4 linked regions of the Alligator mississippiensis genome follow. The protein of the gene in region 3 interacts with the protein of the main gene of each other region in a pairwise test. Links are inferred from orthologs where the notes say so. Each region holds a gene or a part of one and is shown on either strand. Other genes may lie near its edges. The genes, in order: EFHC1, PPP1R18, TEX11 and MAPKBP1.

Evidence for each region.
Region 1: the proteins of TEX11 (region 3) and EFHC1 interact in binary tests that used the Homo sapiens proteins (3 or more experiments, as listed by UniProt). The two-hybrid records come from large-scale screens. The link is inferred for Alligator mississippiensis from reciprocal best matches to the Homo sapiens genes TEX11 and EFHC1.
Region 2: the proteins of TEX11 (region 3) and PPP1R18 interact in binary tests that used the Homo sapiens proteins (3 or more experiments, as listed by UniProt). The two-hybrid records come from large-scale screens. The link is inferred for Alligator mississippiensis from reciprocal best matches to the Homo sapiens genes TEX11 and PPP1R18.
Region 4: the proteins of TEX11 (region 3) and MAPKBP1 interact in binary tests that used the Homo sapiens proteins (3 or more experiments, as listed by UniProt). The two-hybrid records come from large-scale screens. The link is inferred for Alligator mississippiensis from reciprocal best matches to the Homo sapiens genes TEX11 and MAPKBP1.

Annotation. Positions count from the first base shown.
Region 1 is NC_081824.1:8,953,100-8,960,559, reverse strand, and holds the start of EFHC1 (EF-hand domain-containing protein 1), read left to right. Parts: upstream 1-4,166; 5' UTR 4,167-4,211; coding exon 4,212-4,274; intron 4,275-7,460. UniProt on the Homo sapiens protein: Microtubule inner protein (MIP) part of the dynein-decorated doublet microtubules (DMTs) in cilia axoneme, which is required for motile cilia beating.
Region 2 is NC_081834.1:53,469,827-53,477,780, reverse strand, and holds the start of PPP1R18 (phostensin), read right to left. Parts: upstream 3,256-7,954; 5' UTR 2,749-3,255; intron 2,043-2,748; 5' UTR 2,036-2,042; coding exon 1-2,035. Other genes in the region: NRM (nurim), read right to left, coding at 6,753-7,073, 7,306-7,485, 7,567-7,769, 7,857-7,954.
Region 3 is NC_081831.1:83,090,416-83,097,762, reverse strand, and holds the start of TEX11 (testis-expressed protein 11), read left to right. Parts: upstream 1-4,254; 5' UTR 4,255-4,364; coding exon 4,365-4,398; intron 4,399-6,469; coding exon 6,470-6,591; intron 6,592-7,347. Other genes in the region: nuclear cap-binding protein subunit 2, read right to left, coding at 1,942-2,040, 2,797-2,935, 3,601-3,782, 3,895-3,981. UniProt on the Homo sapiens protein: Regulator of crossing-over during meiosis. Involved in initiation and/or maintenance of chromosome synapsis and formation of crossovers.
Region 4 is NC_081825.1:238,959,988-238,967,330, forward strand, and holds the start of MAPKBP1 (mitogen-activated protein kinase-binding protein 1), read right to left. Parts: upstream 3,411-7,343; 5' UTR 2,550-3,410; intron 1-2,549. UniProt on the Homo sapiens protein: Negative regulator of NOD2 function. It down-regulates NOD2-induced processes such as activation of NF-kappa-B signaling, IL8 secretion and antibacterial response. Involved in JNK signaling pathway.

The sequences.
Region 1 (7,460 bases), on a different chromosome or scaffold from region 3:
ATAACTGATCTAGTGGTTTATAGTGTCTAACAGCGACCTGGTTGTAAGAGGCTGAGCCCATCCATCTTCAGTGGGTTGCCTATGGCTTGTGAACCCATGAAACTAGGGGCCTGGCCTTAACTAGTAGAGATCATAACAGCTCTGCTGTAGCCATTGGATTTATGCTGCTTAACACTAAGGATGCCAGCTGGCCCGGTGTGCATTGCATTCAGGATTTTTCCAAGGGGAATGGGAGATTTGGGTTAGAAGCAGCCTCTTCAGACCTGGTGAAGAGGGCATGGTAGGTAGCTTAAAGGTGCATTTCCATCAAAGGCTTTACATAACAGAACAGGGATATATGCTGAAGCCCCACACGTGCCTTGGTATTCAAAACTCTTACTGATGATGAGCATTGCCTCCTGCCAAGCTGAAAACTACTAAACATGAATATATTGGGGTTCGTCCGTTACCTGGGAAGCGACAAGGGGTGCGAGTATCACACACCAGCTGTCCTCCCCACCTATCCTGAATTTTGTATTGTTGAAAACACTGAGAACATCCAAGGCTTTGCACTGTACTGACAACCGTTTAAAATCCCCAGTAAAAGAAAGTTATAAAAGCCGTACGACGCGTGTGATGTGAAATTTGTCAATCCACGGAAAAGCAGGGGAATCCAGGTGGCTGCAGCTGCTGGGTTATTCAGTGGAAGTTTGGCCTCTAAGACCACACATGGAGGAGGAAAAGGAGGAGAATAATAATAATATCATAAAAATGATGCCGTACTTGTCCTTCATTTAGGGCTTGTAGCAAAATTCTGTTCAAGCCTTATAGCTGGTCACTAGCCCCATTTTACAGTTAAGGCACAAATGCTTACACTGGCGTAGGTAGGGAGACAACGGGTGTGTCTGAGTGCCTCCGTGCTGCACCATGACACCCCTGGGCCCACCGGCATGAAGCCCGCCGTGTCCACTTGCTCCTGGTCAGCCTGTGCGTGATCTCAGAAAGGTGAAGTTGCTGCCTTTGAGCAGCCTGGAGCATGTGCCTAGTATCATTAGCTGTGATGAGCTTTAGCTGTGTCCTAGGCCTGCCCGTGGACATTTGCTCAGCTCCGTTGGATGATGGAAAGGTTGCCTCATTTACAGGATCTGACATTTTGAGTAGGAGCGTGCAGGTGGGATGGTTTTCAAGGCCGTGCTTCTGGGTACAGCACAACCCTAAGTGGGAGTTTGTCAGCAGCAGGGCCACGAATAAAGCCCTCTGGCTCGTCTTTCAGGTTAAGAAGAGGAGCTCGTAGACGGTCTCTCACAAACTTAAGTGTTTTGCTGAAGCAAGGCCAGATCTGCAACAGCTACCTGATCATCTCCAACTACACACAGGATGCGTTTCCATCCTGGGGTTTCCTGGTGAGCTCTTAAACCCTGGGAGCATAGTTGGGACCATTTGGCTTGTCTCCAGGGGCCTGAGGGAGGACATATCTCCACCTCCTCCTCCTGCCAAACTGGAGATTAAATTTTTTTTTTCAAATAAAACAGCAAGGGTGTCCATCACTGCTGTATCTTCATGTTTCATCCACGAGATGGCAAGGTTCACTCACCCTGGGCAGCAGACAGCGTGCTGCCTAATGCCAGGACTCCCTTCCAAATGACCTGGGGAAAAATGGTGGTTTTCAAGCAAATACCAAACCAGCACCACAGGATTACACCTTAGTCAAGAGATGTGTTTCTAGGCAAGGGATGTGCTTCTTTCAAGTGTTACCGTTCATAGAAGAAGACCCGAAGGCAATTCGCAGTTAAAGGGACATGCCAGGTCCACTGTTATACTTCTATAAGCTAAAAAATGGAGAGTAGAGAAGAGTAAGGAAAGTTTGGGGTTTGTTTAATGGCAATAATAATGACGGGCGAGGTGTAGCATGGGATTTTTTTTTCTACCATTGTTTAGGATGATAGAAATCCCACCCCACTGAAGCCAGCTGCAACCAGCCCAGCCCCAAGACAGCAAGTGCAGGCAGGAAACCAGCATCCGGGGGGAACTTTTACAAAAGTGCTTTCTGTTCATTCCTGGGGGTGTTAACAGCAGGGGGGGAGGATTTTTGTTTTGGGCACCAGATGCTGCTGCAATGATCATCTTCAGGAAGAGACCACGTCATGGGTCTTTTACCTATGCCAAGTTGTCTGGTCTTCTTGAAGTGAACTGGCATCCAGCATTGGCACATGGTTTAAAGTGCCAGTGGTTTCATTTCACTCTTTCCTCCCAAGTGTCAGAAAAAGGGAAAAAAAAATGAATGTCCTGTGTCACAGCAGTTGTTTGCAGTTCCTACTGCTTTCAGTGAAAGTCCTAGTTGAATGCCTCTGAAAATCAGACCAGCAGCATGCTATCTCCTATGGTGTCAGAAGGGGCAGTCACGACCCGTGTCCAGTTGTTCAATGTCTCCCAGCCCCAGGCTTTGCTCTGATGGGAGGTAACAGTCAGTCCATGAGAAAATGCTCTCAATGTAAATCACCCATTATCAGGATCTTTCTAGATACCTATATCATGTCACAGACTTGCGCACAGCAAGGGGAAAGTCTCACCAGCAACCCCTTGCATTCGATCAATCGGCCACATGCAGAATCACAGTGAAATACAACGTAGTTAGATCACGCGAGGGGCTTAATCACCAATGAAGCATCACACGTCCCTTGTGCCGCTGGGATGTTCATGGAGTTGGACTTTTCTCACTGTCATTCTTTATGGCCATAGCTGCAAGTCCCTAGCAGGATTCAAGTCTCCCTGCATCGGGTGCTGTTTGTGCACAGAGGAAAACAGGCCTTTTTGGCTCCAAAAAGGCTACAAATCCAAATAGAAGGAGATGCAGGAAAGGTTGGCAAAGGTAGCACTGTTGTCACTCTTTTACAGATAACAAAACGGGCATATGGGGGTTAAATGAGTTGCCCAGGGTCGCACAGGCAGCCTCTGGCAGAGGAAGGAACCAACTCCAGATGAACTGAGTTCCCAGGCAGTGCTTTAACCACAAGAGCAGGATTCGTATGCTGCTGTTTTTATTGCCATTCCTCACGTCCTAGGAAAGCATCAATGGTTTAACCCCTGCCCCGACCAGTATACCCAAGAGGAATGTGTTGGGAGCAGGGGATGAGAAGGGATTCACCCAGGCACCGCTGTCGGGGCCCCGTCTCTGCTCTGCCACCAACTTTCCGTGTGATGTTGGGCAAGTCACTTCTTGTCTCGGGTCCCAGCACTGCCCGGCCTCAGAGCGGGGCTGAGAGAAGGGCATGAAAGATTGTGAATTGCTCCGGTCCTTACAGCGACGGACAGGGCTGTATCAATACCAGAACGGAGGCCTGGTAGCTGGAGCGGAGAGACAGCAAGCAAATGCCTGGCTCGTGGCTCCTTTCCAGGCCCTTTTCCTCCAGTACTGTTTGGCCTTGAGTCTATCCATCTCCTTTGGCCACGTTTCTTATCTCAGAACGGCGGGTTTTCTCCTCTCCCTCAACCTTGCCTGCATCTGGAGGAGGATCCAGCTGCATCGCCCGCCGCCCCCTCTCCCCTGCCAGCTTGGCTGTAGCCCGGTGATAAAGACGGACACAATGGCCACCTCCTCTTGCTGCCCCAGCTCCTCCCTGCCCCTCTGATCTGCCCTTCGAGGCTGGGCGAGCAGCTATCCCCCATGCCAGCCTGGACATGCCACGTCTGGTTTTGCTCGGTGGTATGCAAAGCCCAGAGGCGTGGGCACTGCCTGTGGCAAGGCATCGGCATGGCTGCACCTATCACCTTGCACCACCTCCTCCCGGACACCTCCGCTTCCCAGGGGCTATTGCACTGCCTCCTGCTCCAGCAGCAAAGTGCTTCCTGGCACTACTGGCAACCTGCTTTGCTGCAACTTCAAGCCATTGCTGCAGCCTGTGGCACCCCCACAAGTTGCATCCCTGCCAGGCCAGTGGGTGGTGCTTTTGCATGGGTCTACACAGGGGGCACAACCAGGTGCAGGGCGCTGGTGCGTTTGGAAGAGGCCCGGGCTGTACCCTGACACAGCACAACCCTGCTGGAGCTCAGGAGTCCCCACTACGCAAGCGCATGGGAAAGCCGCGCGCGGGAAGCGGGCTGCAGCCGCACTGCGCATGCTCCGCCTGGTTCCCCCTGCATTCGCCGGACTGGTGGGGGGGTGGAACGTGGAATGTTTGCGGGTGCCATGGAGACGGCGTTGCCCGGCGACGGCCCCGGAGCGCGCGCCGGCCATGAGCTCCCGCCCGGCGCAGGGGCTGCCGCTGCTGCCCGGCTTCAGCTTCCTCGACCCCACGGTGAGCGCGGCCCCACGGGGGACCATGCACCCAGGGGACCCCCTGCACCCACGTGGAACTTCCCCTGCACCCCATGGGCCTCCTGCACCCACGGGGGACTCTCCCAGTACCCCACGGGGGACCCCCCTACACTCCATGGACCCCCCCTGCACCCACGGGGACCCCCCTGTGTCCTACGGACCCTGCCCTGCACCCACAGCCCCCCCTTGAACCCCTCTGCACCCCACAGGTGACCCCCTGCACCCCATGGACCCCCCCAGTCCCCATGGGGGAACCCCCTGCACAGGCCACCCCTTGCACCCGATTCTCCCCCTGCATCCCATGGACCCCCTGCACCCACGGGGGACCCCCCTACACTCCATGGACCCCCCCTGCACCCACGGGGACCCCCCCTGTGTCCTATGGACCCCCTCTGCACCCATAGCCCCTCCCTTGAATCCCTCTGCACCGCACAAGTGACCCCCTCTGCACCCCACAGGCTGCCCTTTGCACCCGATTCTCCCCCTGCACCCCACAGCCCCCCTGCACCCACAGCCCCCCCCCGCATCCACACCCCCCCCTTGCAACCATTGCTCCTTGCACCCACAGGCCCCCCTGCATCCCATATTCCCCCCCCCCTGCATCCACAGCTCCCCCTTGCACCCACAGGCATCCCTGCACCCTACAGCCGCCTTGCACCTCATGGCCCCCCCTGCATCCACAGTCCCCCCCTTGCACCAACAGGCGCCCTGCATCCCATGGTCCCCCCTGTACCCACAGGGCCCATCCTCCCACTTGCAGCCCACAGCCCCCTTTACCCCACGGGCCCCTCCCTCTGCTGCACCCCATGGGAAACCGTCCCCCACACCAGTGACCCCAGCACCCCACTGGGATCCAGTGTCTCCTGGCAGCCCAGCCCCAGGGAGGGTGGGCGGGGGGAACCGGCACCTCCAGCCCAGGGACCCACAGGCCTGGGCGGGACCTCGGGTGCTCCTGAGACGGGAGCTCCTGGCCTCGCAGGGCTCCCGGGGGAGCGAAGCCCCTGAGCCGTGCTGGTGTCCGCCAGGTCCTTGGAGACACAGGACGGAGCCCTCCTGGCTTCAGGGTGACGGGACAGAGCCCCTAGATCTGTCCGACACGGCTGGGGCGGTGGCGCTCAACCTTATTGCCCTGTGGGCTGGATGGATGGTGCCCATGGTCCATCCCCGGGCCGGATCCAGCCAATGATCCCCATCCCGGTGTGCAGAAGGGGTTGGGGAACAGCCTGGCCCCGTCCAGATGTGCAGGGGAAGGGGGCTTAGCCTGGCCCTGTGAAGGGTAGGGAGGGCCCTGATCTGGTTGTGGGCTGATAGTCTGGGATAGGGGCCGTGTACTTGCCCCATACCCCCCTCCGACCCAGATATCCCTGAGATACCGAGCTCCCTGTCCCCTGATACCTCCCTGGGGCTGGGACTTTGGAGTAGGGTCCTTGTCTGCCTAATCATCCCACAGGAACCAACACCTGATACCTCAGTGAGAGCTGATGCCCTAGGCTAGGGGACCTCAGGAGCTCCCTAGCCCTCCGTGGGCTCTGCTGCCTTGAGAGGTGGGAACTCATCTTTTTTCCTAGGCAAAATCATGCTTTTCTTCTACCCCGGTGCTGTTGCAGTGGTGGGAGCAGGGCTCCTGGCAGACCTCAGCTAGTGCTTGGTTAAGAGAGGATTGCTCCGAAGTGCTGGGCTAAGGGGCAGTGATGGTCAGGAGACCTGCCTTCTCCTTCTGGCTCTGCACTTTCCCACTGGGTGGCCCGGAGTAAGTCACAACACCTCTCTCTGCCTCAGTTTCCCCAGTTACAATAATACCCTTTTGGAGTAGTAGTATTACTCAAAAGGCAAGGGGTCATTGATGTGCTCCTTTGAAAGACCAAAGGATCAGACCCACCTGGGACCCCCATTGAGCCTTACTGGAGGATCAGTGCCACACGGGTTAAAATCAAGTGTCTCCACTTTGCTTGGAATATCTTCTCCAAGCTCCTCATTTTGGCTTTGATGCTGATTTCTTAGCAGGAAACTGCCTGTCTTGTGGCCAGTGTCATACTTATGCAGGGCTCTGTTAGCATCTTGTCTTGCTTTCACCTGAACAGGCTTTGCTGCTGCTCTGTCACCGCTGGCAGAGTTGGTTTTTAAGTGAAAATGGGTAATGAATGAGATATGCGAGTGAGGTTATAAATCGAATTATGGGCCTGAACGGCAGGGAGGCTTGTTCGTGTGAATGAGACTGGACTGGTTGCTAATTTGGGGCTGGAAAGGCACGTTCTCTTAGTGCATTCGGGAATGTGTCCGCTGCCAGTCCAGGAAAGAGGACGGTGTGTGTCAAAGGCTCTATACTGAGATTCTCCTTTAGACCAAGTGTTAGGGGCCTTTTGAATTTTGAAAATACGTAGAGGCCACCGTGTGCTATGCAGTGACAGTCATAGGGCCCTAAGGGAAGTCTTAAGGTATCCCAAAGGGCCTGGCTTTTCTTTTCCTTTCTCGGAAGGAGGATCCAGTTGGATCAGCTGGCCACATCCCATCTTCTTCAGTGCCTGCAGTTGTGGGGGGTGGGATGTCACAGTGGGTGGACTCCATCTCCTCCCATTGTTTCTTCAGCCGGCCCAAACAGAGCAGGACCACCCAGACAGCACCCCCATTGCTCAGGACTGGGGTGAGAGTCTGGGTGACATCCACAGCCCTGCCACTGACTTGCTATGTGTCCTTGTCACCTCCCTGCACCATCGGTAAGCGTATTGAATAGGAACAGCGGCTCAGAACTATGTAGCTTGGCAGAGCTAATGTCCCCAAAAGGTGAGCTGTCCTAAGGAAGCTGCACCCCACATTGGATAAGAGCAGCAAAAAATAATGAGTCACTGCTGCAGCATTAGGGGCAGGCCAATGTGTGCCATGTGCACGGAGGCAGGGAGGTTTATGGTCACCACAAATAAAGCGCTACTGAGAGTCTTTGCTTTCCTCACCAAACTTTTTACTTGCACGGGCTTTAACCATGCTTGCATACACACTGCATGAATGGGTCTGTCTCCCTCGGGCGTACTCAGGAGACGGCCGGCGGAACAGCTAAGGTTCACTTCATGATCTCTAATGCCACCTTTGGGTATCTGCTGAAGCAAGGGTGTGCCTTGATTTTGCAGGGAGGAAAATATTGTGGTTTTTGTTCCCTAAGAGTTAAGTAACA
Region 2 (7,954 bases), on a different chromosome or scaffold from region 3:
TGCGGTGGGGGTCGTTCTTGGCCAGGCAGGACCTCTGCAGGGACAGGTACCCTCCGATCACCTGGATCTCCTCAGCCGTGGGGTACCGCTTCTTCACCGGCGCCATGGCTGCTTTGTCTGACCCTGGCACACCCTCGATGCCATTCTCCACGGTGGGCGCCGGCACCGGGGCCTTGCGTGGGTTGATGGTGATGGTGTTGCCGCTCCGGCGTTGCACGGCTGGGTGTGGCACCAGCGACACCCCTCCCAGCTCCCGGGCTGGTCGGGCCCCCACACGCCTCATGGCCTCCCCGTCGCCTGGCTCCTCAGCGCTGGCTGGCGGGGGCGTCTGCTCACAACTCAGGGAGGAAGCAGAGCTGAGAACAGCCACGGGCTTTGGGGGAGGAGAAGGAGAAGTGCCGGTTTCCTGCCTGGGTTCGGCGGCGTCGGAGGAGGGGGGAGGGGAGCTGCTGGCCCGCCGCGGCACCACCATGAAGGAGTTGCGTGACTGCAGGCGCAAGCTGGCCAGGGCCTTGGCCTGTGTGTCGGCATCAGGCTCCAGCATGGCTGCTGGGCCTGGCTCCAACGCCTCACCTGTGCTCATCACATCCAGCAAGGTGGCCTTCAAGTCCCAGCCTCCCCTCTCTGGAGAGGCAGCCTCCTTGCCCTGTGGGCTTGGCATGACTGTGTTTGGGCCACTGCCATCGTGCCTCGCGCCCCACTCTGGGGAGAGGGCCTCCTTGTCCTTTAGGCCTGGCCCCGCAGCCACTGAGCCACCACCTCTGGGCTGGGCCCCGCTTTCTGGCAAGGCGGCCTCGGTGCTTTGGGGACCGGGCGCTGCTGCCAGCCGATCACCGCTGCTAGGCCTAGCTCTCCTCTCTGGAGAGGTGGCCTCCCTGCCTCGTGAGCCTGGTGGTACCGTGCCCGCCGCACGACTGTCACTGCCAAGCCGGGGCCCCCTCTCTGGCGAGGCTGCCTCTTGGTTCCAAGACTTGCCAAGCGAGAAGCGCCGTGGAGGGCTCTCCAGCCAGGCCTCGCCACTAGACCTGGCTTCAAACTGATTGCGGAAGGAGGCCACCGTGAAGAGGGGCGCTTGGGGTGGTGCGGAGGCGCCAAGCCCTGGCAGGTCGCAGGATGGGCTGGAAGACCTGCCATGCTGCCGGGCCAGGCCAGGATCCAGCTTCCTGGTCTCCAAGGGGTGCTCATAGGAGCCATCAGCAAGGTTCTCAGTGCTGAGGGACCTGACCGGGCGCTGGGGCGGCCCCACACCGCCACCGCCACCGTCCTGGCTGAAGTGGCTCAGCAGCTTGCTGACCCGCCCACGACGCTGCTCTGGCCGCGCCGACTGGTAGCCCACATCCCCGTGCCCCTGGCCACAGGAGTTGAGGTCCTCCGCACTGCGGCTCACGGTTGACTTGACGATGAAGACCTCACCCGCCCGGATCTCCGTCACGCTCCCGCCCGGCCGCACCAGCAGCTCATTCAGGGACTCCACGCTGCCAGATTTCACCTCCGCTGGCCACCGATGCCGCTCAGCCCCTGTGCCCAGTGGAGCCCCTTCGACGTCGGGCACCGACTCAATGATGATGACGTTGTCGGCCCTCAGGGTGCGGATGCCAGGGATCTGACTGTAGGCGTCCGCCAGCTGCTTGGCCTTGGCGCTGGCTGGGTCGCTGTCCGGTGCCGCTGTTTCCTTGCGGCGCTTCTCCAGCTGGATGAAGGGGTTCTGGTGCACGGGGCCAATCTTCTCCTGCAGAACGGCGCTCTCCTCACTGCTGGGCTCCTCCCCAGGGCTTGGGGCTCCCACCCCAGCCAAGGGGGGCCCAGCTCCTCCACTGCTGCCACCGCCGCCCTCGCTGCTGCCTCCAGGCTCAGAGAAGGAAGTGCTGGAGCCCTGCTTGGCACGGCGGCGCTCGATGATCTCCCGCTTCCATGCAGGCATCTTGGCCATGCGGTCCTGCTGCTCCCGCTCCCGGCGCCGCGCCTCCTCCTCTTCCTTCCGCTTCCGCTCCAAGAGCATCAGCTTCCAATCGGGCAAGGACGAGGGAGCCGACATCGTGGCCCTGGGGTGGGGGGGCAGGCAAGGAAGGGAAAGTTTAAAGGGCAGAAAGGAGGACAAAGGATTGTAAGAGAGAAGAATGGGAAGGAGGAGGGATAGAGAGAGCCAGGGAAGGAGGCCTGATTTAAGAAGAAAGAGTGTCAGGAGGAAAGAGGGATGGTGGAAGGAATGGAGGCTGGGAGAGAGCGGGAAGGGAAGGAAAGAGAGTCAATGATGGAGGAAGCGGTGGGGAAGGAGGGCTTGCGAAAGGAGGGACTGAGAGGCCAGGAAGAAAGGACAGAGGAGGGTGAGGAAGAGAGCGGGCATGGAAGCCGGGCGAGGGAGAGGGTGAAAGAGGGACAGGGTGATGGGGAGGTCGAGGGGGAGGCGGCGCCGGGATCACACGGGCTTCCGGCAGAGAGAGAAAGGAGATGAACCAAATTCTCCCCCCTCGCAGCCGGCTCCGCCTGACAGCCCCTCCCTGCCCGCTGCCGGCGGGGCCTCCTGACAGCCCGGCACGCGGCGGCCGAGCGTCCCCGGGGCCCGGCCGGGAGGCCACGCGCTCCGGAGCCCGACCCAGCCTGCAGCCCGGCGGGGGCAGGGGCAGGGGCAGGGGCCGGGGCAGGGGCCGGGCGCGGCGCGGGGGACCCCGTCGGGCTTTCCTGGGGTGGGTGGGGGCTCCTTTCAACCCACCGGAGGGGAAGGGGTGCGGGAGGGGGCAGCATAATTACCCCGGCGAGCGGCGGGACCCAGGCGTCCGGGCTGGGAGGCTTCAAGCGCTCCGTGGCTCGCAGGACCCGGGCGTCGGAGTGATGGGCAGGGAGGGAAGGAGGCTCCTTTTGTCCCGGGCGGGGCTCGGGGGTTCCGGACCGCGGGGCAGACGGAACCAGGCGCCCGCCCCGCGCCGGGCAGGCAGGCAGGGAAGGAGGGAGGCGGGGAGGGGGTTCCCGGTCGCGGGAGTTTCGCGGAACCGGCGTGGGGGTGGGGGCAGCCCCGGGGACCCAGGCGTCCGGGGGCGGGCGCCGCGCGGCTGGGCGGGCCCCGATCCGGGGGGCCCCGATCCGCCGGGGCGGGCGCTGCCGCCGCCGCCGCCGCCTCCGCCGGGTCTTTGTGTGTGAAGGCGCGGGGAGACAATGCGGGGCGGGGCGGGCGGGCGGGGGGCGCCGCGGGATTCCTGCACAGCGCCCACGGGCAGCGGCCGCGGCGGGCAGAGGCCGGCACGGATTGACTGCGCTCGACAGAGCCGGGCCCCAGCGCCCGCACCCGGGCAGGCAGGGATCTGCGGGGGGAGGCGGTGTCCTCCACACCCCCCGGCCTCCCCTCCACACCCCGCTCGTCCCCCTACGCGCGCGCGCACACACACACACACACACACACAGCCCCCCTACTTGTGCACCCCCAGCATCTCACACACCCCTCCAGCATCCCCTTACACACACACACCCTCGCGTCCTACACCCCCCACCCTCCTCCTATGCACATGCACACACACATACACACACCCCAGCATCCCCCTACACGCGCGCGCACACTTTCCTGTAGGGTTGGCAAGCTGGTCAACTGACCACATATTTTTTTGCCCAAAGATTATAGTGATTTTAGGAATATATATTTGTATGTTTCTTGATGGAAACAAGATTTTTTTTTACTGTTTTCTGACACACTTTATAATGGAAAATTTGTGGTTTTTCTGCATCGTATTTGGACCTGTTGACATTTCTGGGGGGTGTTTTTTGTTTTGTTTTCTTTTTTACAATAGTTGATGGATATTTGACAGGTCAATTAAACAAGCTGTATTTGACAGGTCAAATACCTAACTTTGCTTTGCTCCTTGTTCACGTGGTTCCCCAGCCAGACACGCGTGTCACACAGGCTCCTTACAGCCCCCACTCCCGCCCCTGGCTCTCCATCCAGGATGTGAGCTATGCACGGCCTGACCCACTGAGAGGGGAAGCCAAAGCCTAGGGCAGGCCTCAGCCCCCCTGTTCCCAGCAATGTCAGCTGAGGCCTGCTCTGCTTAGCTCTGACCACCAAGGGGTGGCCCCTGCCACATCTCCAGCCCTGCCTTTGTGGGAGCATTGCTATACACACAGACTCCAGCGGCCAAGCTGAGGGAACAGACACAGCATCACCTTCACACTGGCACCAGTGGGGAGACATGGGGTGTTGCTCTGGGAGAGTTCATGTAACAACACTCCCCCCCACCCCCCAAGAGAATAAGTGCTGATGGATATCCCAGGTGAAGGCTGGTACCAGCTTGTTCCACGGTACAATCATTTCTGAACTCTTCATGTGGGTAGCCTCAACACCTTGGGAAGTGCTTCACTCAGCTCTGTCCCACAGTACAGACACCTCCCATCCTAACACCCCCAGTTTCAGCTCTCTTCTTACCATCCCCTGGAGCATTAGCTCCAAAAGAGAAAGGAAAGAGGGTGATACTACACCCACAGTCAGTGCGGGTCCCTGGTACAATGTTCCTAGACTGCTATGCGGCGAACACTTGTCTTCCCTAGGGTAGCCCCTGCTGCTGTGTTGGCACAGTTCCTTAGTGAAAAAGTGTATGCCAACAGGACTTTTTCACGGCTGTAGAACAGGGTGGCACCAACCAGGCCTTGGTGCAGACACAGCTCCACCAGCAAAGACATGTTTTCTGCTGCGCACCGTGAGCTGGTGAGTCAGCATCTCCGGCAGAGCTGCTGGTGGCACAGCTCTGCCCATCAGGGGTCACATCCTGGACTGACTCAGCCTTGCCAAAGAAAGGTTGCAATGGGGACAGAGTGGCAGGTGGGGAAGTAGAGGACGGGGCAGGGGGGAAGTCACACAAAAACACTGATGGGGGAAGGAGGGAGACTGATCTGGGAGTAGGGAAAAGGGGTCCCAGGGATACAGGTGGGTATGGAGAGGGAACATTAGGGTAGCATGGGCAAGCTGCCCCATGACCCCGTGTGTGTAATGCCTTTGGCTGACCAGAACAGGGTGCAGTACCCAGTGCCTGGCATCTCTGTGGCAGCAATGCCCTCTAGTGGGAAGAACAGCAACAGCTCATGTGCTTGTAAAGATGTGCTGACAGGCAGGAGCTAAATTTCCCTCCTTCCTTAGTGCCAAGATGATGCTTTGGGAATAGGAGGACCCGAACTTTCTGCCCCAAGCTCCCTACCACGTCTAACAGCCCAGATGAAAAGCATGCAATCAAGAGATGGATACCCCAGACACTTTCATTCCAGGTATATTGCAGAGAGTGAGACAGAGCACTGCGATACGGCTTGCTGGCTGCATACCCAAGTGTTGCCCTAAGCCAGGCACCACCACCCTCCCTGAGCTGCGGAGAGAACCCAGGAGTCCTGCCCCATGCTGTGCTACCCGTCTCACAGAAACATGTTTGTAAATGCAATAATTCTCTTTAGTTATTTATTTGTTTGTTTGTTTTAAACTAGCCTTTTCCCAGATCACTCAAAAACCCAAGATACAAAAATACTTTATCAGCTTCAGGTTCAAAACAAAACAAAACAAAAGAACCAAAAAAACCCCCACATGCACAAAAAGGCAGCGTTAAAAATAGAGGTTCTTCATTAAGGCATCGATTAAGGTTGGGGTTGCTTTCCTGAGTCAGAAATAGGACCCAGGTATCCTGAATCCCAGCTCAGCCTCTGCTCTACCCACAGGACCCCCTTCCTGAGTGCTGGTGATGGAACTCAGGGGTCCTGATGCTCAGCCCCTCTGCTCTAACCCATCGGACACCATTCCTCTCCAAGACGGGGCCCAGGGATTCTGGTGGACCCAAAATGTCCCAATCCCCATAATGAATTAAGCATTAAGCTAGAACACTTGCATTAAGCTAGGAGACCTGAACATCAGCAGGCTTTGGATTTTGTGGCACAGTTCCTAGCTAACTTTTAATAGGAGCCTGGCACTCACTGCAGGGAAGAGGCCCTATGTCCTGATCCCCATGTCTTGACTCCCCTGCTCTCCCCACACCTTCAATGCATCCACTGGCCACTGAAGTGTGGGAGGTCAGAGCCAAGGCCCCAGAAAGGGATGGACTTCCCTTCCTATTAATCATCCCTCCTTTCCAGCTCATCTTCATATCACTCGAGCCATTTTTTTGCCTTGTACCTAAATACAGAAGAAACAGTACCCTACTTTCATTTTTAGAAACCATTTTTCAAGACTTTTGCAGCAGAGATTGGCGACACGTCCATCACTATGGGGAAGGCAGTAGGGAAGAGCCCAGGAGTCCTGATTTCAAATGCCTCTGAAACTATTAAACCCAGGGCTCAAAATAGAAGGCAGGAATCCTGACTCTGGACCTCCCCACTGTAACCCAGACTTTACTCCCCTCTCAGAGCCAGGAATTGAACTTAAGGACCCTATGAAAGAAGAGTGTTACAATGGGGGAGGGAGGAGAGAGACCAACCTCTACCGAGCTCTGTAAGGCCAACGGTATCTAGAAAGTGGAGCTGGGCAAGTGGGCTGGGAGCCTGGACTCATGGGTTCTACTGCAGCTCTGGGAAGGAAGAGTGTTCCAGTGGGTCACAGCATGGGGAAGGGAGCCTAGACTCCAAGGTTGCTTTTGCAGGCAGCTGTGACTTCTAGGGACTCAGGAGAGATCCTAACACTACAGTACTAAGTGCAGAGCTAAGGGCATCAGTGCTTGGCAAGGTGGGGGGTGGGGAAGGGCACCACTGCGCCAGACCTCCCCCTAGGTAAAAGCCATCCAGCAGGGTCCTGCTCCCACTCAGCTCTCCTTGCTCAAGACAGGGCCGTTGCGGGCCAGCAGGTCCCCATAGGCAGCTTCCTCACGGGAGAAGACCTGGAACTTCTTATCAAGCTGGGCACGGAGGTAGAGGTAGTCCTGTTGGTCCAGGCTGTGCCCGCAGGTCATGTAGGCGGTGAAGAGGGTGGCCAGCAGGAGGCGGTCCAGGGAGAGGCAGGGCACGGCCCACAGGATGAGGAGAAACTCCAGGTACACGGGGTGGCGCAGGTGGGAGTAGAGCCGCACGGCACGCACCGACTTCAAAGCCAGGGGGTCACCCATGCCCAGGCAGTGGTAATAGACCTGCGGCAGGGCACGGCACGGCATGAGGGCAAAGCAGGTTGGAGCCGAGAGAGGAAAGCCCCCAAGACTGCCCCCCGCGAGCCCAGGCAGTGGTAACAGACCTGGGGCAGGGGACCTGCAGCAGGTTGGAGCCAAGAGGGGAAAGACCCCAAGACTCCTTCCTCCCCCTTTCCACCCCCCCAAGCTAATCCCAGTCCCTGAGCCCCTGGATCCTCCTCCCTCCACCCAGTACCTGCTTGACCCCCATGAGCTCGGCGTAGTCGAAGATGAGGATGATGCTGAAGATGATGAGCCAGGCCACGAAGTGCAGGATGAAGCAGGCCAGCAGCACCCAGGTGGCCCAGGGCTCCGAGCGGGAGGCGTCCCACAGCAGCGGCCCGTCCCGCACCGGCTGCCAGCACCGCATCAGCACCTGCGGGCGCCCGCTCTGCTCAGCCCGGCCCGGCCCGGCCCGGCCCGGCCCCGCCGCGCCCCGCCCCGCCCCGCCCGGTACCTGGAGCGCCAGCGCGGTGCAGCACACGTAGCAGGAGCGGTGCAGCACGCCGAGGCAGCGCGCGGCCCAGCGCTTGGCCGGCGCCGAGGCCATGAGCCAGTGCTGCAGCACGAAGAGCGCCACGAGCCCCAGATCGGCCGCCAGCGCCCGCAGCACGCGCGGGTCCCGCAGCGCCGCCGCCCACTCGCGCCCGGCCGTCGGCTCTGCACGGGGCGGCAGCGGGGTGAGCGCGGCCGCCCCGGGGCTCGCTCGCCCCCCCGCCCCGCCCCCAGCCCCGCTCCCCGCCCTACCCGGCCGCGCCCCGCCGGGCAGCACGGCGCGCAGCGACACGAAGCGAACCAGCTCCACGCCGGTGCCGAAGGCGAAGAGGAAGCTGCCCAGGGCCGGG
Region 3 (7,347 bases):
TCTGCAGTCTGCCCTGACCAGGCTGGACAGACCGGTCCCCTTCCCCACAAGACAACCACACACTTGTTCTTACTGCGCATTCCTGCCTGCCCTGCCCTGCAGCCAGCGTTTGGGCCCCGGACGGCCTGGTGCTGAGGGCAGCATCCTCGAGTCTGCATCTTTGCTCCCTGCCTCTTACCTGTTGCATCTGACCAGGGCACAAAGCCCAGGTCACGCTGGCAGGAAGAGCTGGATGGAGGCAGCAGCCTGAGCTTCTCCACAAGTGGACTGAGCCATCTTAAGAATTCAATGTGAAACCCCTTCGAGTCAGGGCTTTGTGGCGACTTGAGCTATAAGCATAGCCTTGTCCAAATGCCTGGTCTGTACCAGCTGCAGCCAGAAGCAGGCTTGGTTCCCATTGGAGCCCAGAGACCCCCTTGAGACAGAGAGCTGCTCCCAGGTAAGTGGGGGATTTCTTTAAACGAGTTCAGTTACATCCCACCCTTTCCCAAAGGCTCAGCACGGCCTACAGCAAACAAGCCACAGAGGATCCTCTGGCACTTGAGGGCTCTGCAGAGCTGTGGCTGCACTGCACAGAGCAGAAGTTGCTGGTGTTTGCATGATCCCAAGCCAGCTCTGAGCAAGGGCGTGATGTACGCAGCTGCGGGGTTCTGCTCTGGCTTGGTGCAACACAGGAGGGGCATATAGCACCCCAGACCCCAGGTACAGGTCCGCTCAGCTGTGCTGTCTTTGAGGGGGAAGCAGTTCTTACAGGAGTCTCCTACCATTAGCTAAGTTGAATTTGGGCAGCCTTGCAAAGGGGCTTGGGGATGAGTGCCGGGCTTACTTTTCTAAGTTCTTGGGCTGACCTTAAAGCACAGGCTGGGCCCTCATGTAGCTGTATGCACCACAGAGGACCCGACACTGCTTGGAGGCAGGGCAGGGCCATTAAGAATAGTGACCTCTGGCTAGTTCCCCAGGCCAAGGGGAAGGCAGATAATGGTGAATTACCCAGCAGTGACCCGTTATCAGTTGATAACTGGGAATGGGCAAGCAGTGGGAAGTAAAGGAACCATGGTGAATTAAGTCACAGTAGTAAGTTATCCACACTCACCTGGATGGGAGCACGGGAGCACTAGTTTGCTGATTTCCATCTTGTTTCAACCAGGAATAAACACGAGAAGAAAAGTGACACCCACACCAAGGGGAAGCTCAGACAAATGCAGGCATCCATCCCTTAGCATGCAGGATGTGCCCCCCAGGCCCGTCACAGGTAAACAGCACCAGAGCACAGACTGCAGAGACAGGATTATACGTTTATTTAAAAAACCCAAAAGACACTTAACAAAAACCACACAGTAACTGGGAGACTGTGCCCCACCTAGGCAGTGCCAAGGGCACGGCGAGGACAGGGACTCTGCAGGTCTGACTGAGCCCAGGGATAGAAGTGCAGGCACCACTTGCACTGGCCAGTACAGTCTGATTATGCTTCTCCAACCCAAGCCAGCAACAGTGCTTTAAAACAGCAGGAGACAATGTAAACGGTAGACTTGAAACTCCTGCCTGTGCCTGGGCAGGTGAGACAGCTTTGATGGCTGATGAGTTCTCAAAGCTTGAACTTGAGGGAAACAACAGTGGCTGGAAGAACAGCTTGGAGGCAGCCAGCTGTGCCAGAGAGAGCAAGAGGAGTGAGTTGCTGCCAGGGTCTGGGTGCCATGCTGCACTTGTCCTTAAAGAGAATCCTGCAGAGCTGGCCACGCTGTTCCCTTGCTGCCCTGCATTAGCAGGGAACAGCCTCTCTATCCCAAAGGGAAGGGGAATGAGCAAATGTAGACAGCCAGTCTAAGGAGGATCACTTCGTCCTGGAACCTGGACCTTGCTCCCCATCCCAGTCCAAAGGGCAAGGACAGGGCTATCTATGGAGGACCAGTGCCCTTCTCTGTGCTAGGACAAATGAGGCACTTAGTAGATCATAGTCTGCTGATTCGCCTTTTGCATCTGGATGATCTTGCCAAAGCCACCTCTCCCCACGTCATAATCCGTCCGGTACTCATCTCGCACCTGGGGGCAGAGCAAGAGGAGGCATTAACACCCTCCACCTACTTACATGTCACAACGCTTTTAGGAGCCAGCTTCCTCTCCACCTCACCCCAGCAGTTGGTGGGCTGAAAGCCAGGGTGCAAGTTCATGTTTTTCAACTCGCTTGATAACACCCCATCACAACAGGGACAGGACAAGTGTGGGGCTGTTTTGAATGTCAAAGCAATACAAAACAGTCCAAACACTGTTCAGTTTGGCTTTGCAGTCTGGCTTGACGGATTGTCAAGGTTGAACCCTCTGAAATCTGGGAATGAATCTCATCTTCCCACTGGCGCATCCCGTCTGACAAGACTGCCCTTGCAACCACACAACAAAAACACGGGGCTGGCAAGACCTTCAGGGGGTCACATCTAGGGCAAGCCCCTTGCTTGAGGTAGAGTCATCTGTGTCAACCATCCCAGACTAGCACTTGTCTTTCCCGAGCACCGTTTCTTCCTCCCTGCTTGTTTCCTCCATCAATCTGACAGCATCTCATTGACAGCAGAGCAACATTCACTTTGCGCCCTCAGGAGCCGGGAACCCAGCTCTTCAGCAGCAGCAACTGTCAATCACTTACTCCAGTCCAGCATCAGGTACTAAACCAGTTTGACCGGCTTTAGTTCAGTTATTGGGTCTACGCTGCATTACTCTTGCTTTGTGTTGGCTCAGTCACGGTGAGCAGCACCCAGCTGAGCCCCGGGGAGCCATGTTCTAGACTGACGTTGGTCTGTTGCTTACCTGTCCTCCCGTCTTTCCTCTCCCGTACTGCCGGCCCTCCTTAAACCCTGCGTCCCAGTCTGTCCGGATAATGCGGTCATCCAGACGGGTGCCATTAATAAATCTCATTGCATGTTCAGCTTCCACTCTTGTGTAATATCTGGAATAACTTATAAGGAAAATACAAGGTGCTGTTCTGCTGGGTAGGGAGGTAGAAAGAGAGAGTAATTTTATATGGCATGGAGGAACCCTGACTTTCAACTCAAGACCCAAACGCTAACTGGCTCCAGTCCCCTCCCAGCGCAGCGCGAGGCCGCGCTCGTGCGTCTCAGCTCTGGCACAGCGAAAGCAACAGCGAGGGGTCCCTCGCTTCAGGGAGAGGCCGGGCGCTGCCCCCAGGGCGCTACACGTGCCCCTTTCCGGGACAGCGCGTGCTGAATTTGTACGCAGGACTTCAAGCTGCATCAGCCCCGCTTCGAGCCTCGTTTGTAGGAGACGCCTCGTTTAGCTGCCCGTGCGCGGCCGCTGAAGATGCTACTGCGCGGGTCGGTCGGTGATCGCACGCACTGCGATGCGCGCCGTGCATGGGCACCGCCACGACAGCCGCCCACCGGGCCGGCACAGCGCGGGGGACACCCCCGCCCGGAGCAACGCACCGACCGCACGGTCCCTCCGCCGGCCAGACACCACGCGCGCCAGCACGAGCAGCGGTCCCACCCGGCCTGGCCCCGTCCCACACGCGGAAAGGGCTGAGACCCGGCGAGGGGCAGCAAAGAAGCCCCTGGAAGAGGGCACCGCGCCGCGCAGGCAGCGGCTGCAGGATACTCCACGAAGCAGAAGCCGCACGGCGTCTTCTTGATCTTGTCCAGACCCATGACGATGCGCTTGACGTCGCCGCACTTGGAGAAGAGCTCCTGGATCTGCTCCTCCGTGGTGTAGAAGGACAGGTTCCCCACGTACAGCGTCGACGACGCCTTCAGCGACTTCTCCTGCAGGTACCGGCTCCCCTGGGGGCACAGCGGGCGTCAGCGCGGGGGGGCCGGCTACCCCCATCCCCTCCCCCACAGCCCGCCGCACCCCAACCCCCTCCCCAGCCCTGCCCCACGTCCCCCGGCGCACCCGGAAGTGCTGGTCGCGGTACTGGCTGATGTCGCAGTAGGAGTCGCTGCTGAGGCCGCCCAGCGAGGTGCCCAGCAGCCCCGACATGGCGCCGCAGCACGCGCCGGCTCCTCCCGCCCTTCTAGCCCCGGCGCAGCGCCGCCGGAACCGCCCCTCCCCCGCTCGCCCGCGCGCCCACCCCATTGGGCCCAGCGCCCGCCACTCCGCAAGGAGAGGCGGGGCGGCGCCCCCATTGGAGGAGGGCCCTGCCCGCCAGCCAATCGCCGCGTGGGGCTGGCCTCCGCCGCGCCGGAAGTGCGCGTGCGCGGCCGCGGGGGGCGCTGGGAGCTGTAGTTTCGCGCCAGGCGCGAAAGCCAGGCGCGTGTCCCGGCATACCTCGCGCGCCCAGGCGCTGAGGTGCGAGGAGCGGGGTGTGAGGCGCAGGCGCTGCCTCGTGCTTGGGGCAGGCCCGAGCAGCCTGGCGCTGCGGCATGGCGGGCGCCCCCAGCCTCCCCGCCCTGCAAGGTAGCGCCTCCCTCCCCTGCCCGCCGAGGGTTTGCAGCCTGGTGTGGCGGGGTGAGGGGCCCTGCTTGCTGGGGGCGGCCTGGTTCACTGCAGGCCCTGCGCACCCCGCTTCTCCACCTCACCCCCCTTCGCCAGCCTCCGTCTCCCAGTGCAATGCAGTGCAGCGCCGCCCGGCTTCCCGCCTCCGAGAAGAGCAAGAGCTCCCCCGAGAAACCCTCCCGCGCCGTCTCTGCTCCCACGGCGCTCCGGTGCCACCGCAGCGCCGTGCTGCAGGACAGCCTCGAGTTCGAGACGAGCGCCCGGGAGAGTCGCCCGGGAGACGAGCAATGGGGCGCTCGTTACAGCCGATACGAAAAGCTGTGTCTGGTGTAGACGGGAGGCCGGCAGGGTTTTCCAGTGTCACAGTGGCGTGCGTCTGCCTCCCTGGCGTCGGGGCTGCGTGCTGCGCCGGGCGCGGTGGCGTCCCGAGAGCAGGCTCTGACAGAGCCGGCAGCCTCCTGGGCAGACACGCAGCACGTCCGGGGGTGCAGCGGCGACTGCCGGGCAGTCTGGCTGTTCAGTGGTGCCGAGCTGCTTTGCCTTGGAGCCGGGCCGCCAGGAACAGGCTGAGTCGTCAGGGGAGATGTGCCGTGAAGCGGGACGCCTCCGGCTGCCGGGGCCCCGCCCCGGGTGAAATACTTCTGGCCCTAAACCAAAAGCTTAGCGACCAGTGCGTAACGTTCGACGTGAAGGCCGTGTCTCGCCCTGTACCCGGTTGAGCTGAGCGCACGGCTGCAGAGGAAATAGCAACCTGTATTTGTTTTAGTTTTGGAGTCTAAAATAGGTACTTGATAACTTGTTCCCGATCAAGGAAAAGGGCACGCTCTGTTACGTAACTTACAATTAAAAGTAATGCGTGATTAGTTCTGGCGTGCTAGGATTACAGGAAAGGAAATGTGGTCGACAGATTCATTTTTGTTAGGACAATATGTAATAAGGTAACTTGTGAAACTCGCAGTGGCTGCAGAGCCTTGTGTGTTCCTGAGTTCATCAGTTAAGAGACTTGGACAAAACTTGTTTTGCCTTTTCACGTTATTGTTTTTGATGTCTTTGGAAGTTAAAACTATTCTCTCTTGCCAGAGATTACAGGGAGCTTTCCGTCGACTTGAGTAAAACAAACATTATAGTGACTGGGGCAGAGGTGCGGGAGGGATTCGTTTTGCTCCTGGACCAGAGTCAGGGTTTTTGTTAGCAAGGTACTGGGCTCTCATGTCTGTACCGTGTAGTGCTGCTACTGGCTGCCCAACTGGGGGTAGATATTTAAGCTAGCACGTGAAAAACTATGGAATTGGAGACAAGGGAGGGCAAAAAGGTTTTATATGGTTTTATTTGGTCCCCTAAACTGCTCTGAGGAGTAGTTTCCAGCTGCCGTTGTAAGGGATTTACCCACTAAAGCAACCTCATTCCTTCCACATTCTGAGAGTGGTTAAGAGAGCACCTGATCAAGTCCGACTTTTTCCTTTTAAGCCAAGGGCAGGGATTTAAAGATTTAGCAGTTTTCTCTCTTTTTATAAAGATGCATGGGGGTTTTAGGATTCTAGAATCGGTGGTGGCAGGTTGTTCTATGATCCTCAAAGGAAGCGCTGGCGTTGGCTTACCAGTATCAAAGATCCTGAATACAGGTTGTGTACATTATACTTTCAGAGGGCCCAAGAATAAAAGTTGTTTAGGAGGGAACAAAAGACTTGGGGGAAGCAGACATTTTATTCACAGATAAGATGTGCCACATTCTGCACTCTTTACTTATGTTTAGTTCCTTTGACAAATGTAGATTTCACTGCCGCAGTTTAGCAGAATATAGCCTTATGCCTTAACTAAAATAAATTTTCTTTAGAATAGAGTTGTTTCTCAGGAGTTACTTTGTTCAGCTTCTCTTGGTCTCCTTGTTTGTGCTTTTTTATTAGCCAGGAAAATATGAAGAAAATGTAAACCAATGGGTTTTGCTTGTACAGACTTGTTCAGAGATGATGTGCTACTCATAACATTTGTATGGTGCTCACTCCGTTTCTGCCTCATGCACCTTATTTTTCAGAGCTTGTTCAAGAGCTGCTGAAGAGAGACGCCCCATCCAACGTTCCTGAGATCATTGACAAACTATTCTCTGAAATAGAAAATGTGGATAAGAAGGCAGAGGACGAGATTCAGGAGGCTGAGGTAGAAGGCCAGGGACTGTTGGATCCCAAAGCTGGATATTTAAAAACAGTCTGTTCTTACAGCCAAGGTGGAGGCAAGCAGTATCTACTGCAGTTTGAATGCTCATTGGCTGGTGCAGATAATGAGTTGTCATAGTACTGAGAATCTATAAAAGCACTTACATTTTTGCATGTTTTACTTATGTTTTGTATAACTATAGAGCATACACTATAACATTTCTACTTCTCCATTAGCACATTTGAAGAAAGTAGAGGTGTTTCTAAAAAAAAAAAAATGTAAATATTAGAATAGTAAACATTAGCAACTGGCAAGTGGGGGATTCCACCTGTCCTTCAAAATGATATGTATTAATGTTTTTGAATTCTGAGGCAAAATATCCTTATTTAAATGTCAACACTACTGACATGAATGAGATGCTGTGACTTTTTACTTTTGAATCTAACAATGCAAAAAGACTAAAAAAAGCACAATAGTAAAATAAATGTAGAAAAGAATAATGAAGATGTTAAAATTGTAAATACAAACACTCCAAAATCGCAATATAAAAACACTGAAGTTTTCTTAGTAAAAATCTTTCCCGTGCTTCACATTGATTAGTGATTACTAGTCATAATTTTAAATGTCCACCTAAATGATAAACTGTAGATGCATTGTAAATGAGTTAATACTTTTGGAGTCTTGGCTTTTTGATTGCTTATAGTTCATACCTAATCAAAATAGAAGAGATAATTGTGTAAAAGCTTATAAATTTAGTTC
Region 4 (7,343 bases), on a different chromosome or scaffold from region 3:
GGGAACTGGGCTTATTTACTTTGGAGAAGAGAAGACTGAGGGGATTTGATAGCAATAGCAGTCTTTTAATGACCTGAAGTGGAGTTCCAAAGAAGATGGAGCTAGACTGTTCTCAGTGGTAACAAATGACAGAAAATGACAGAACAAGGAGCAATGGTCTCAAGTTGCAGCAAGGGAGGTTTAAGTTGGATATTAGGAAACATTTCTCACTAGGAGGGTGGAACAAGTTACCTAGAGAGGTGGTGGAATCTCCATCCTTGGAGGTTTTTAAAGCCTGGTTTGACAAAGCCCTGGCTGGAATGATCTAGTTGGGCCTGGTCTTGCTTTGAGCAGGGGCTTGAATTAGATGACCTCCTGAGGTCCCTTCCAACCCTAATTTTCTATGATTCTATGATCTTTCATCTATAGCCTGAGACAGGATCATCCCTATACAGTGGTGCTCAACCTTTTTCCATGGCTGGATGGGCAGCGCTCTGTCTGTCCGCAGGCCAGATCCCACCAGTGGCCCTGATCTGGCTTTGGCCCTAGTACAATGGGCACCATCTGGCCACGTGGAAGGGGGCAGGGGGGGGTAGCCCCACCACATCCCAGCCCCAGAGGGGAAGGGGATGTGGCCCAATCCAGATGCGGGAAAGGGAACATGGCCTGGCTGCAACCAGGCACACAGGACTTGGGGTTTAGGAATTTGGCAGGGTGATAGTGACCATATTAATGGCCACTGCTCCCCTGCCACCATATTTCCCACCTCATGGAGAAGCCTTGTGGACCACATGTGATGACTCCATACTTGGCCCGCAGGCCAGGGATTGAGTACCCCTATCCCTATGCAAACCATCCTATACAAATCCATCATCTAACCTAGGGATTCTCAACCAGGGGTGCCACAGCACCCTGGAGTACCTTGAGATCCTTTCAAGGGTGCCACTGGGGTGCCACCCAATGTTAGCACTGTGAGGTGTGCAGACCTGATTCACAAGATAAGCCCAGCAATTCGAAATAGAAATCCATAGTTGCAGGCTTTCTCAGTTCTTGGCAACAGAAAAATGGCTTTGTTATTTATCTGCACTCAATAACAGAATTAAAACTAAGAGCTGGCATTTTCCAAGGGATGCACCAAGCCTATCCAAAGATGCCTCACATCTGAAAAGGTTGAGACACCACCATCAACTTTGGGGTACTGCAGGATCATCTCTGCAATTCCCCCTCAGGGCAGTGCCGCTGAGATAAGCCCTTGGTAGGCCTTGGCAGGGAGATGGGACTTGCACTTTTCTCTGGAAGGAGGATGGGGCTTGAATTGTGTTCTGAAGAGGCAATAAGATTTTGTGTGGAGGCAACTGCAGAAGTGAGAGCCTAAGAGGCAAATATCTCCATGCACCAAGACAGCCAAAATGCTCAGTAGTAGAGCCTCATTAGTAGCTGGTGCCTGTTTAAGTATGCAGTTCCTGTCCTACACTCTCCTAAACACAGGGACCATTGCATCCAAGTGGGTGGGGTGGCTAGAAAGTTTACCCCTTCCCCTCTGCTCTGGCCAGCAAATCTGAGTGACTATAAAAGTGTGTGTATGCAGGGCATAGTAGTGAATACAGTCCCCTGTGGGCTCAGAAGGAATTGTGCAACTACACACTGTTTTCCATTCAGGGCTGTGGCTTAAAGCCACAAGAGTCCCAAGGGAGGGTATAGGAGCCCAAATTATACATGGCAAAAACTAAACAAAAAGAGGTAAGATGCAATTGCCACTTACCATGCCTCTCCCCTGCTAAATGCTACACCCTATGTTCTGATTCCCAGTCGCGACCCTCTACCTTCTTCTTCCCCACTTTCCATCTCTTCTGATGGCCTTCTTTCTACCTTCCTTGGTAACTATCCCATCTTAAATGGCTCATTCCAAACCCCAGGTGTTAGAACTGATCACTCAAAAAAAACAAACCAAAAACAAAAACACCTTGTGAAAAGCCTGGTGAACAAAATGAGATTCGTCATACCCCTTAGGTTATGCACTGGCATAATCACAGGATCAGGATACTAACATAGCCTGGTCAAAATCCTGCATATCTGCATATGCTATAAGGAAAGACCCAGAGGTATAACCCAATATATCTTCAGCAGTTCACCAAACTATGCTCCTGTGCTATCTAACCTGGCTATAATGACCAGCAGTAAAAGGGTTCATAATGTCAAAGTTTCTAAGCGCCCTTAGGTTCCTACCTTAATATCTTTGTGAGAAATAATAGAGGCATTTCATCTTTCTCAGAGCTACCCAGTTTCTATGCAGACTAAGACAACACTACTGTATCATTCAGACACATGCAGTACAATTGGAAGAGCTAGATTCTTTGGCCCAAATCCAACTCCACCTTTAGTAAGTAGTGTTTATGTGGCTAAGATAGCAGTGTAAGTGCCATTTGAGGCCAGTAAGGCAGATTTTAGAGCCTGCTCCCTCTGGGAAGCATGGAATCCATGTAAAGTCATAAAAAGTGGAGGAGAACCTTGCCCTCAATAGTGCTTTTGCATTTTGCATTTAATAGTCATTGGATAAAATGGATACATACCAATAAGATAGCTTCTGTACTATCTCACTGAGTTGCACTTCCATGGCTTTGCTCTCCTTAGGACCCCATAGTTCTCCCCTCTTGGCTCCCCAGTAGACCATCTTCAACAGGAGACGTGGAGGATACTTCACAGTAATACTTAGCCCATGGCCTCATGGTTAAGGCATTTTGCTGGAAAGTGGAAACCATAGGTTCAAACCTCCTCTGGATGTGGGGTGGGGCCTACAACCTGGATTTTCTGCTCCCTAGATAAGTGTCCTAACCACTCAAGCATTGTGCTAAAAAGGTGCTCTCCCCTGCCTCTTCAATTTCATGATTGTTTCTGGGGTCTGACAATAAAAGAGAGGAGACAGTAAATGTATGTGTAAGCTTGGGACTTAAATGTCTGATGTCTCCTAACATGAGGGACAGCTGAGATGTTTACCTAGGATAACTTGTTCAACTGCAATTATTTTTTCTTGTTTATGTGAACTCTGAGCACAAGGATACTGAAATATGTGATTGGAAATGTTTGCCTGTTACACAAATTATTTAAATTAAAAGATGGGTGACAGTTTAAATATAAGTGGCAAATTAAGACCTATCAAAAGGGACTAGGGTGAGAGAAATGCTGAAGTTTCTGATAGTTACTTTGCCAACATTTTTCAGGAAATCCAAAACTTTCCCACATGTTTATGTTGTAGAATCTGCTTTATTATTGGAGATTGTCTAGAATAGGCTGGATAAGCACTTGTTTGGGATGGCTTAGGAATAAGGGCTCCTACAAACCCACTTGGACCAGATGACCCTTGAGGTCCCTTCAAACAGTCCAATTCTATGATTCTAAGACAAATAGCCAACATGAAATTTCACAGGTTTTCTCCAGTGCAAGCTAGTACAGTAATGTGCCTGAAATTTTACATTTATTTTCTGATTTTTAAATAATTTTTTTTTCTGGTTTCAGTAAAGTAGCAGATCAAATACCTTTAGTATAACAGCCTTCTCCTGGATCTCACTGCAGCAGAGAACAAGGTAACAATTAACAGCCTCTTGCTGGTCTTTTTGACATGTAGACATACTGACATATAGACATGCCAAGTATTGGTAGCAGTTCAACCATGTTAACATGGTTTCATAGATTTCATAGATATTAGGGCTGGAAGGGACCTCGGAAGATCATCGAGTCCAGCCCCCCGCCCAAAGGGCAGGAAGTCAGCTGGGGTCATAGGATCCCAGCAAGATAAGCATCCAGTTTCATCTTGAAGGTGTTCAATGAAGGCGCTTGAACCACCTCCGGTGGCAGGCTGTTCCAGACCTCGGGGGCTCGGACAGTAAAGAATTTCTTCCTTATGTCCAGCCTGAAACGATCTTGTAGTAGTTTGTGTGCTCTGCCTGCATTAATTAGTATGAAAGGCAATGGTTTTTTTGTGATGTCTTTTATTGGATCAACTATACAGTTGGGAAAGCTGTGTTGGGAAGCCATGCGAAGGGCTGGATCTGCTGGCTCTAACATTAAAACTAGAAGAAATTAAAGTAAAAAAAACAATGCAGAACTTTTGCATCCATCTTAAAAACTAGGATTTTGGTATGAACTAAAGCCTGGGGCATTAGAACTGGCTGCACTACTCAGACTCACCGTCCAATAAACAATTAAATTAAGAGAAACAGGCCTGTATTTTTGGAACACCCAGAATCAAATAGCAAACCCACTAAGCTCACATTGGCTTTGACATGGTACCTAGAATAAACGGCCTAATAATGGCAATCAAGCAGGTAACCTGCTGAAGCTTCCTTCTGCCTTATATAAAAGCCTTTTATTTATATAAAAGACTAAATTATATACATGGATAGCGAATGGAACCACATATGCCTATTGTTATCCTCAGCTTTCTTTCTTATAACCTGCATCCCCTCCCTGTGTTTTACATCTACAGCCAAAAATCTTGGCTTAATTTAGACTGTATATTTTTTCAGGACCAGTCTCTTAAATATGTTGCCACTGCCCAGCACAATGCATCCCTAACCCTGACTAAAACCTACAGGTGCTAGTGTAATGAGAGGCACAGGGATTTTCACTCTCACAACTGGGGTCATGGATTTTGCCTCTTCAAAGAGGATATTGCACAATGATTGGCTATGTAATTCCTCTGCAGTTATTTTCTCGAGTTGTGTTGCTGCAATGGTGAGCCTCATATTAGACATCGTAAATACAGAGAAAGAACAAATGCCTGCAAACAAAGCAAGTTATACAGCTGAAAACTTCCCCACAACCTCGGGGAGGGGCGGGGGGGGGGGGGGGGGGTTGTTTAAGAAACATCATCTTGCAAAGAATTCAATAAAACTACTCAAGGATTCAAGGCAAAAGGGACATTTTGTGAATTATTTGAGTCAGAACATGTTTTCCTTGTTGAAATATCCTGATATATGGATCCCACAAAAGGAGAGCACAGACCAGTAAAGTTAGAGCTCTGTGAATTTCACGTCAATGCTATCCTAGCTTTGATCTTGAATTTCCAGCCCATAATGTACATAAAGCTCTTCTTTGCATCAATGGATCAGGCTGGAAATGTAGGATTATGCTCCCTCCACCTGGCTCTTCTCCTGTCACTCTTAGAAAATGTCAGAAGTGCACGCCTTGGCCTTATTAAGAATTGCTGAGCACTGGCAAATTCTGTTTGCTCTTACTAGAGTTGCAGAAGCTTGGTTCCTCTGCAGCTCAGGACACTGATGTGGCTGGGCTATGCACCGTCTTTGTCCTTTGCTTAGATTTTTTTATTTGGATTATATAAGAACAACTCTTCAAAATTCAAGCCATGTATAAAAAGTGTATTCCTGCCCTTGGTACATTTTCCTTATATGTGCGTAAGAGGCATGAAGTGCAGGGTGAATAAACTTCAAGCTTTTTTCAGAAATGTGACATTTCTGAAGATTAGGATGGGGCTGGAGAATGGGTGAGATTTACATTCTTTGGGAGGAAAAATAAGGCCAAGTTTTAAGATACTGAAGTCCAACTCCATATGTAGGCACCTTAAGAAGTGGCCTCATTTGCAAAAGTGTTGGGCACCCAATCTGCTTCTCTCTTCCAGCAAGAGATGTTGAAGGCTCAGTATTTTTGAAAACCGTCTAGACCATCTATTTAAGTACCTAAAAGCTGATTTAAGAGGCTAAGTATAAGCAGGCAGTGATTTTTAGAAATACTGAACAAGTTTAAGCTGGCCTAATAAAAGGCCCAGTCTGTTTTCCCTGTACTTGCTGTGCGTCTCTGTTTAGAAAAAGTAAATTCACTAGGACTCAGTGACCAGGCCAGAAGGGACATGCAGCAGACAGGCAGGTGATTGTTCTGCTTTGTAACTTTCCCTGCTTCATGCCCTGTGATGCCTGAGGATTTTATGTTCCAATGGAGCTGCTTTAAAAGGTACTCAGAACTGAATCATCAGGTCACCAGGGAGGAAGACCTCACTTGCTCTCACCACTAATGCAATGTCCTAGGTTACTTTGCTGGGAGAAACACAGGCTTTGTAGCACAGAACTTTGGAGCACAGATCAAGTTCTGTTGTCATAGCTACAATCAGCCAGGGGCTTGAAATCAGCATACCCTCTAGTTCACCTTTTCCCAAGCTATGGGGCATACCCGTGTGCCAGGGCCCAAAAGGTTCCTAGGCAATCAGTGGTGCCCCACCCCAAATTCAGTTGCCACCCGCCACTTTCCTCTCTGCTGATTCTCTTGCCCCCACCCTGTACTTCAGCTGCTGCTCCCACTTCCCTTCTGAGAAATGCTGGTGACTGAAGTATAGGGGTGCAAGAGAAGGACATGAATAAACTTCATGTGCCTATGATGGGGTGCATACCCACAAGGGTAGGGAGATGCTGCTGTAGCTAATGTAGCTATACTGGCAAGATCCCCTCCCCGCCAACACCATCTGGATATAGCTATGCCAGAAGAGGGCTTAGCTCTTTTTCATCCAGGAAGGTAGTATAACTATCCTGTGAGAAAAGCCTCTTCTGCCATATGCTACATCTTCACTAACATAGCTATGCCAGCAATAGCCCCATAATGCAGACAAGCTCCAGTCCCACATTCAAGGCCATGTCATGCAACCCACAGGGCTTATTACAGGTCCAGAAATTTGGCAGCAGGGAAGCAGTAATTAATACCCCCTGCTCCTCTGTTGCCAATTTTCTAGACCTGTGGGCTAGATGACATAGCTCTGCAGGCTGCATCTGGCCCATAGGCCAGAGGTTGGGCACCACTGCTCTGTAACAGCCAAGAGCAAGGATCAGACCACTGGCAGCTTCTCTGCCATCCACCCTGAGGTGCACGTGCCAAGCAAAATGTTGGAGGTTGCCTACCCCACGTGTACAAGCTGAGGGCTGTAAGTAACAACCTCAAATGGCATCTTTCAAGTGACACGTCTCTCAAGAAACAGACTAACTCCTATCCTCACCAAGGTCTTGCAGCAGACCCAAATGCCTGCTGTGCCACATCAATATAGACCACATCATCACTGGACCAAATAACAAGGAGTATAAAATATCTGAGGTTCATTCACCTACAAGTCTACCAATGTCATCTACACCACCACCTGCTTACAATGCCTCTTTGCTGTCTACATTGGACAGATCTTACATGATTTCTTCATGTAAGAATGAATGAACACTGATCTGACATCAGCTGCAGAAAGAAACAATGGCCTGTGGCAGTACACTTTAATCTCCCTGGACACTCCATTGCTGACCTCAAGATGGCTGTTCTCAGGCAGCAATATTTTAAAAAGCAGTTTGAACAGGAAAATTGTAGAACAAGAAGTTATCCAT